Mytilus edulis: one gene and its partner. The protein of the gene in region 1 binds, or shares a complex with, the protein of each later gene. Links are inferred from orthologs where the notes say so. Each region holds a gene or a part of one and is shown on either strand. Other genes may lie near its edges. The genes, in order: DNA-directed RNA polymerase I subunit RPA2-like and RNA polymerase I-specific transcription initiation factor RRN3-like.

Region 1 (3,937 bases):
TACAACCATCTTTTTCCATTTGTAATGACGAACCTGTATATAAACTTTTATATGGGGAAGAAGTCCCCTATTAAAGTAGAAAAATCAATAATTTATTATTTTTTTTTTTTAATTTTGGGAAAATTCGTTCAAATATTTTTGTCGCTTTCTTTAATTCCCGCATTTGCGCAGAACGCAGAAATCTACTTCCTTCTTCCGGTCTTGTTGTCGTGAGACTTTGAGTAGTCTAGTAAAATATAGGAACTCAAGGAACACAATGCCAATATTTCATTTTTAATAATTCTTTGTCTTTGATATGAATTAACGTTACCTGATGCATTGTGTTTCTTTGTTTACATTGAACATTTATAGTAGAACTAATTGCCGTATTTGAATATCAAAAATAAGACAACGCGTGACCGAACGACGCATGGATTAAACGAGTGATTACGGCAAATACGGCGATTAGTTATTCTTTTTATTACATTGGCAAATGTTTTTTTTTTATGAAATTAATGTGGAAAATGTAAGGAACAAGGGTCCGGAAACGGTCATATTTGCCAGTCATGTCCTAAACTGAAACTATAATGTCCTAAACTTTTAATTGGGATTTAGGTCAAATTTTATTTTTCAACCGTAATAATTTCGGTCATTTCGTTGAGATCAGCTTTCAAAATCGCCATTTTGAACATATTTTTGTTTTGTTATCGACTTCCTGTAATTAAACTGCCACTTCATTAAAGTGTTATAATCCTGAGGGCCCTCCTAATAACTATATTAATGCCTCGGGGAGCTATTGGCTAATGATTGCTAATCTCTTTACCTGTGTTTTTAATTCACACCTGGCAATTAATCACAAGCTCCAAACTATTATTATAAAGAAATAAAAATTCCATACCAACTGGCTTCATTATTTAATTACTCAACAGGTCAGACAATTGTCAATTATGATTTAAAATTAAATTAAAACTTGGTTTAATTTCATAGAAAAAAATATTTTTTTTACTTCTAACACACGTGCTTTGTTTACTATGTAATACGCATGTTTGAAATTCTCTTCCACAGATTTAGACAATTAATTGTAAATATAAAATAATTTCATCCTAAATAAAGCTAGTGCAACTATTTTAATTAATATTCTTACACTATTAAAGGTAAAATATTAAAAAGCCGATGATTTCCTGTGATTTGGATAAACAAAACTAATCCCGGAAATGAGTCCGGAATTGTTCGTTTTAGTATTGTCGCAGTACATCCGGTTTGAATTTTGACTTCAGAATCAAAGGAAACGTAAGCAATAACTGAGAATATTATCGTTTTGAGTCATTAAAATCATTTTATTTATAAACTGTTGCCTTCCCTTAATTGCTCTTAAACGATTTTTGGAAAATGGTAGGACAAATCATGAAGTAAATGCGATGCAACAGTGAAACAAGTTTGTTGATGCTACGAACATGACGATCGAGTATGAGCATACTCATAATGAGTCTCATGCAGTAATGTGATTTTGACAATCATTTTTTGAAAAGGGGCATCAACTTTTAAGTTGTATGAAAATGACCGAAATTAGGTGAAAAAATTTCCGGATCCTTGGTAAGGAACTATATCTTTTTCCTACGCATTGACAATTTGTTTTGATCCGACGTTATCGACGTCTTGACAACGCCTATTGTTGTATGACATCAGAGAGTGAAATAACCCCGTTTATTTCACATGTGAAATTATCGGTTTTTATCTAACTGGGGAATCAATGTAATTCATTACAACCAATGTAATAAGACGTCATAACTTAAATAACGTCACAAGTAAAATACCTAACAACAGAACCAAAATCGGAAACGTTACAGTATTTCCGTTTCTTTTTTTTTAACAACTTCGTCCCCATTCACAGGTAATGCCTGCCTCATATTATAGACAATAGACAATATTATAAAAAAAAATTATGTACTGCCACTGGTGGAAACTAGCTATAAATTTGTCTTATGCTTAAAAAATTGCACAGGTTTATCAGATTCTAGTGAAAATATGTAGGTGTTAACTCAACATTTGTTATCCATTTGTTATTTTGAAACATCAATTGACATAATTGACGTATGAAACGGTTGTTTCTGTGACTAGTGTCAGAACGACAGTAGGGGAAAAAAGGGGGGTCTACAGATCGGATATAAACAAATATATAACTTATAAGGTTTACCATATGTTGCTTATCATTAGGTCTGCCATAATCTTTATGTGTTAAATTTTTGAAACTTGGTTGTATTCGATCCCCAGTCTCTGTCATTTTGAACAAAAGTTCTTTGATTTTCTTCCCACGTGCATTTGTTGTTGTTGTCTACGTAAATATAAGGTTTGAATGTATAGAACATATTTCTGTCTTATTAAACGTTTTGATGACTAAATTAAAAAAATAATAATAGTATTACAGGGTAGGACGTAGTTTGGAATTCCGTATTTTAAAAATATTCGTCAGTTCGTCAGTTACCAAGGAGAATATCATGAACACGCATTATTGATTAATTTATTGTCTTTTACGCCACTCTCGGCACTATTGTTTTTTTTTGTGGTGGCCCGAAGAGAATCATAGATACTTGGGCACAGGACATTTTTATTGGCCCTCCCCCTTTTCCTCACAATCCGTCACTTTTTTCAGGAACATATATATATTAACTTAGTTACCCAGCTTGTTTTGTTTTTATATCACACGTGTATATGGTAAGCGGAAGAAGGGATCCCGTAGACCGCCCTACGTCACGAATCATGAATTATGCATATTCTATTTATAGGCTATTTATAAACGATTCTGAAAATACTTATTCTAAAAATAGAATATTCTCAACATGTACAGCTATTAAAAAAAACCGATTCAAAATCATTAACTTTCATGTAACACGGTGAATTTGCTTTATTTATTATTTTATCACATGAAAAAAAGAAAAATGTACCGCATTACAGTAGCATATATCATAGTACAAATATATACAGATTCCTTTTTAAGATACACATGAAACATTTCATATAGATATGATAAACAGTAGGACTTAGTGCCTTAATTATGTTGTAAAGACCTGCAAATGTCACATGCACGTGGTCCCACGGCTTTGGATATACTATGGAGTTAATAATATTTTTATTATCCGTCTAAAAGAGTATTTTTATGTAGGCAAATTGAAAAAAAGATGTAGCTTACACATGTTAAACATATATTGTTACACGTACTAAGGCTTTACAGGAGTGTGAGAGGGTGTTTAAACTGGTCTGCGTTTAAAGAAACGAATCTGTAATGTGACCCCCTGTTGTCTGACCATTCTACTATAGCTGGACGTTCTATAGGAACCATTGTTACTTGTTTACAATAAAGCTACTGTTAGGGCGTTCTACAGGATCCCCTGGTCGTTCTACATGATCCCCTGTTGTCTGAACCTTATATATCTACTACAAAACGTTCTATAGGATCCCTTATATTGTTTGTTTATCATGTATACACTAAATGACGTTCTACAGGACCCCCTGGGCAGTCTACAGCTGGGGGGGGGGGGGGGGTCTACAGGATCCCTTGTTGTCTGAATATTATATATATATATCTACTATATATAGTATAGAACGTTCTATAGGAACAAGTTTTTGGTCAGGATTCTTCCGAAAAAGCTCATACCAAATTTATGAAATATATTCCTGGTGTAAATAGAAAGTCAAGTAATATAGCTGTAATGTCAGAGATTGGTAGATTTCCTATGTATTTTACTATAATTTTATCAATGTTAAAATATTGTCATAGACTGGAACGTTTGAAAGAAGGATGATTATTTGATGCATTTATATGTTGTAAACATACAGTTACAAAGTTCTAATGTAAATACATGGTATTGTAGTATAGATTATATTCAAAGAGATTGAAATACCAAATTTTGACCAATCAATTGGTTCTTTATGTCAGTATCTTAAAAATCAACTATGTAAA
Region 2 (3,937 bases), on another chromosome or scaffold:
AGACCAACGATCTAGAGCAAAAAAAAAAAACACAGAAAAAGTAAGACTGAGCGACACGAAAAAGCAAAAGTAATTTAAAGTCCAATATTGTTGTTGAAAAATTAATGGACATATCGTATTAAAAAAAAACTCCGCAGGAACAGATGATACAAATGTAGTCTTCTTTGTAGGACTTTATATGTAAATATTTTTTATTTTATTGGAATTTGGTTCATCAGAGACATGTCTCTGGATTCATAAACACTTACACAAACAACAATTATGATAGGTTATTTGTAGAAACGGCGGTCGGTAATTCATTGTTTAATAAACACAAAAAAAAGGAGAAGCAAGCTATGTTTGTAGTACATTTGTCTTATGTTTATAAAAGGTAATAACAAAATACTGCATTCCACCTCAAATCTAAACTTTTCAATAGGCGTTTAAGATTCATCCGAGTAATTGCGAGTACTCAAGTATCATGACCGAGTATCCGAGTATTAAATTTCAAATCTTTTGACATCCCTAATAATTTGTCATTATTGAGCAGTTGTTGAGCAGCAGAATATGTACATGTCAACTTAATCGTTTTAAAGTACTCGAAACAAGAAATATGAAAACGGATATTTGAAACAGGAAGTTTTGAATGAAACGAAGTTATTGACAGTTACCGGTAACGGAAATGAAAAAAAAACGGAAATCGTAAATTTTTCAAAATAAAAAATTGGGGAAGGACGATTTCAGAGGGGCAAGCGGGGATTAAAATCGATCAATTAATTTTAATCAGCCTAACTGGATACCATAAGAAGAAGAGATAATGTCTGACGCGTTACAAAGGAAAAGTGATTGCTTGTTTGACCATGTGTTGACTTGACTGCGAAAGTGTCATAATTTCTTATTTCAATAGGCTATTTGCCAATTTCCGTAATTGACCCTGTAATTAGAGATCCCTAATGAGGGACATTAATTTTTATTTACAATGGAGAGCTAGCAGAAAGAGCAAATCTATCTGTGCGTAATGTGAGTAATTTATAAGGTTTTTAAATCTTTTAATAACATTAATTTGTTGTTTAACTAAATACCATTGACTTCAGAAATTATTTTTCGTGAAAAATTAGTTAAACCGCCGATACATCACTTTCAATTTATCATGCTTTGCATTGGTTAAAGTCAATTTTGTCTGGTATCGAATAAGTCAATTTATTAACAATCAATTTGCCAAATACACAAAGTATTAATCAACTATTAGCGGCGTATATAAAGGAAACAAACCGTTTTAGTGGATAATTTAATACAAATTTCTTTTAATTTTTAATATTTTTTAATTTTTCATGCCATTTTGATAATCTAATTAACCATTTTTTTTCAATAACAGTAGAAAATTCAATAAAAAAAAAAATTCGGGAAAATTTCCCGAATTTTTCATTGTATACTAATGAACTCAAAATCGTTCAATTTTTTTTTTGTCGTGTTTTGAAATCCCGGACCTGCGCAGAAATGTACAATGTACTTCCTTTTTCCGGTCTCGTTTGTATGAAACTTTGAGTAAAATATATATTTATCAGTCTAGTATAAAATAGGAAGGAACGCGCAATACCAATTTCATTTTTAATAATTCCTTGATATGAAAAAACGTTACCTGATGATAGCGTTTCTTTGTTTACATTGCATATGACGTCATAATTTAAATAACGTCACAACTAAAATCCCTAACAACAGAACCAAAATCGGAAACGTTCCGGTATTTCCGTTTCTTTTTTTTAACAAATATTTAAGTTACAAAAAAATAATTCATACAGACTTCGTCCCCATTTACAGGTAATGCCTGCCTCATATTATTTTTAAAGCGCCACCTACAATATCTAAGTACAAAGGAGAAACTACATTAGTGATAATTATTTTACAAGAGAGGATAATTCACAAGAGAGATTACTCTGTGATCACGACAAAGATTGAAGATTGAAGAATAAGTCTACGATTCTTTCTTTTTCGTCTTTCCTTGTACATTATCTTGGTAGAATATGTTGTCTATAATCCTAAAAGGGATTTAGCAAGTCCATCATTACTGACAATAATTTAAATAATCAGTACGTATGTATGTCAACAAATTTAAATTATGCCAAATTATGTTTTTTTTCTGTTATAATAATTCATAATTTTTGTGATTTAGAATGTATTTCGTTAAGAAAGCATAACACTATATCTTCTGAAACGACGAGTGTTTGAATTTACGTGACTTATTTGAAATTACCTGTCACACTTTTTAAAATCGTGCTGTTGATGTAATGATCTTCTGCATTGGAGGCGAGTTATACCCTAGAAATCAAGATGGCTGCGCCCATGGCCACACACGTTCGAATTAAAGTGTATTTTGAAAACAACGAGTTTGATGCTTCATGGTTATTAATCGATACAGGTGATCTCCGGACAATGAAAGATGTACAGCGACATATATCCTTGAAATTTCTTGGAAAAGCTGTCCCTCTGTATTTATCTTTACAAGGATGTTTACTTCCAGATTGGGAGAAGTCAGTTATTTTAAGAGACAATGATTGTGTTAATGCAAAGTGTATCCATCAAGATAGGTAAATTTTAGGTAGAAAAGGAAGTGACTATTATTTTAATTGATAGCAGGCAATTCTGAGAGAAGATTGCAATCATTAATTTATAATACTTTGTCATGAAATATTTGCCACTGGACGTTAAGCAAGCAACAATTAATCTAATGTATCCGGAGATCCTGATTCTACATACAAAATCATCTATTCTCCACCGGGACTCAAACACGAGACCTCCTTCTTCCCAGGCAGCATGTTATGGTTCATGTGGACCATGTGGACCCTGTGGCTAAAATGGCTGCATTTTCACCTCAAAATTTACTCTGAGTACAGACAAACCTGTGCATCTGGAAACGTTTTAAGGCAAAGCATGCCCTAGATGAATAGACTTCAAATGCATTGTATGATTTAGAAAATTCATAACTTAACTGGATTTTGCAGTGCAGTACTGAGATAAATTAATTGGTACTTCCTTAGCTCAACCGCTTACGGCTAACTAAGTATCTACCACATAATCCTGAAACACTTCCCCCACCTCAAGAGTCATCATACCATAATGACTCTCACACAAAATAAATGTACCCAAGCTAGAATTCCCCTCTTACCACCATGTTTTTTTCTAGTTTGGCGCCAATTAGAGCATGATTCTACATACAAACATGTACTAAAAAATCTTGTCTCTACCAGGACTAGAAACCCAAGACCTCTGTGTTACCAGGCAGCGTGTTAACTGACTGGGCTAAAAAAGTACTTCCTTATCTCAATCGCTTACAGCTTACTAAGTATCTAGCACACCTTCTAAGGGAAGAATTCATATGAGGCAGGAAGACTTGTTGGAGTGTTGCTGCACACAACAGTAGCTTTTATGACACTGCTTTCATGTAAATTCGGGCCAAGTAGATTCATCCAAAGTTGTTCCAGTTCAAGTTCATTCTGCCCTCATATAGGACAGCTAGTAGAAATGCCCTGTACTATGTGTACCGTCGGACATCAAATAGTAATTTTCGGCTACCTTAAGTGTCGAAATTGGTTAACATTTAATCATGATCCAGTTTGTTTAAATATTGCTATTGTTTATATTCATCAGAGGTCTCAAAGGTTTGTTATCAATCTTTTTGTTTAACAGGTGTAAAGATTGTTCTCAATCTTTCATACAATTAGTCTATAGTCTCTGGACATTTATTCTATGCAATAGTTAAATTACCTTTGCCAGATATTCAAACAAAATTACAACTAAACCATTGTAAAGGCATGTGATTACATTGTTTAAATGTATTACTATACATGGATCTCCATGGCCTGTTTAACGATGGCGCCCCGCCATCGTTCAAATGTCTTGCGCCATCGTCAAATGACTCGCGCCATCGTTCAATTGTCTTCCGCCATCGTTCAAAACTGTG

The links.
Region 2: DNA-directed RNA polymerase I subunit RPA2-like (region 1) and RNA polymerase I-specific transcription initiation factor RRN3-like share a complex: the UniProt entries of both Homo sapiens proteins name them as parts of the pol I pre-initiation complex. The link is inferred for Mytilus edulis from reciprocal best matches to the Homo sapiens genes POLR1B and RRN3.

The regions. Positions count from the first base shown.
Region 1 is NC_092345.1:94,834,767-94,838,703, forward strand, and holds the start of DNA-directed RNA polymerase I subunit RPA2-like, read right to left. Parts: upstream 2,334-3,937; 5' UTR 2,261-2,333; coding exon 2,174-2,260; exon of another isoform or gene 1,747-2,173; intron 289-1,746; exon of another isoform or gene 1-288. UniProt on the Homo sapiens protein: Catalytic core component of RNA polymerase I (Pol I), a DNA-dependent RNA polymerase which synthesizes ribosomal RNA precursors using the four ribonucleoside triphosphates as substrates.
Region 2 is NC_092352.1:27,404,453-27,408,389, reverse strand, and holds the start of RNA polymerase I-specific transcription initiation factor RRN3-like, read right to left. Parts: upstream 2,308-3,937; 5' UTR 2,231-2,307; intron 1-2,230. Other genes in the region: coilin-like, read left to right, coding at 2,308-2,564. UniProt on the Homo sapiens protein: Required for efficient transcription initiation by RNA polymerase I (Pol I). Required for the formation of the competent pre-initiation complex (PIC).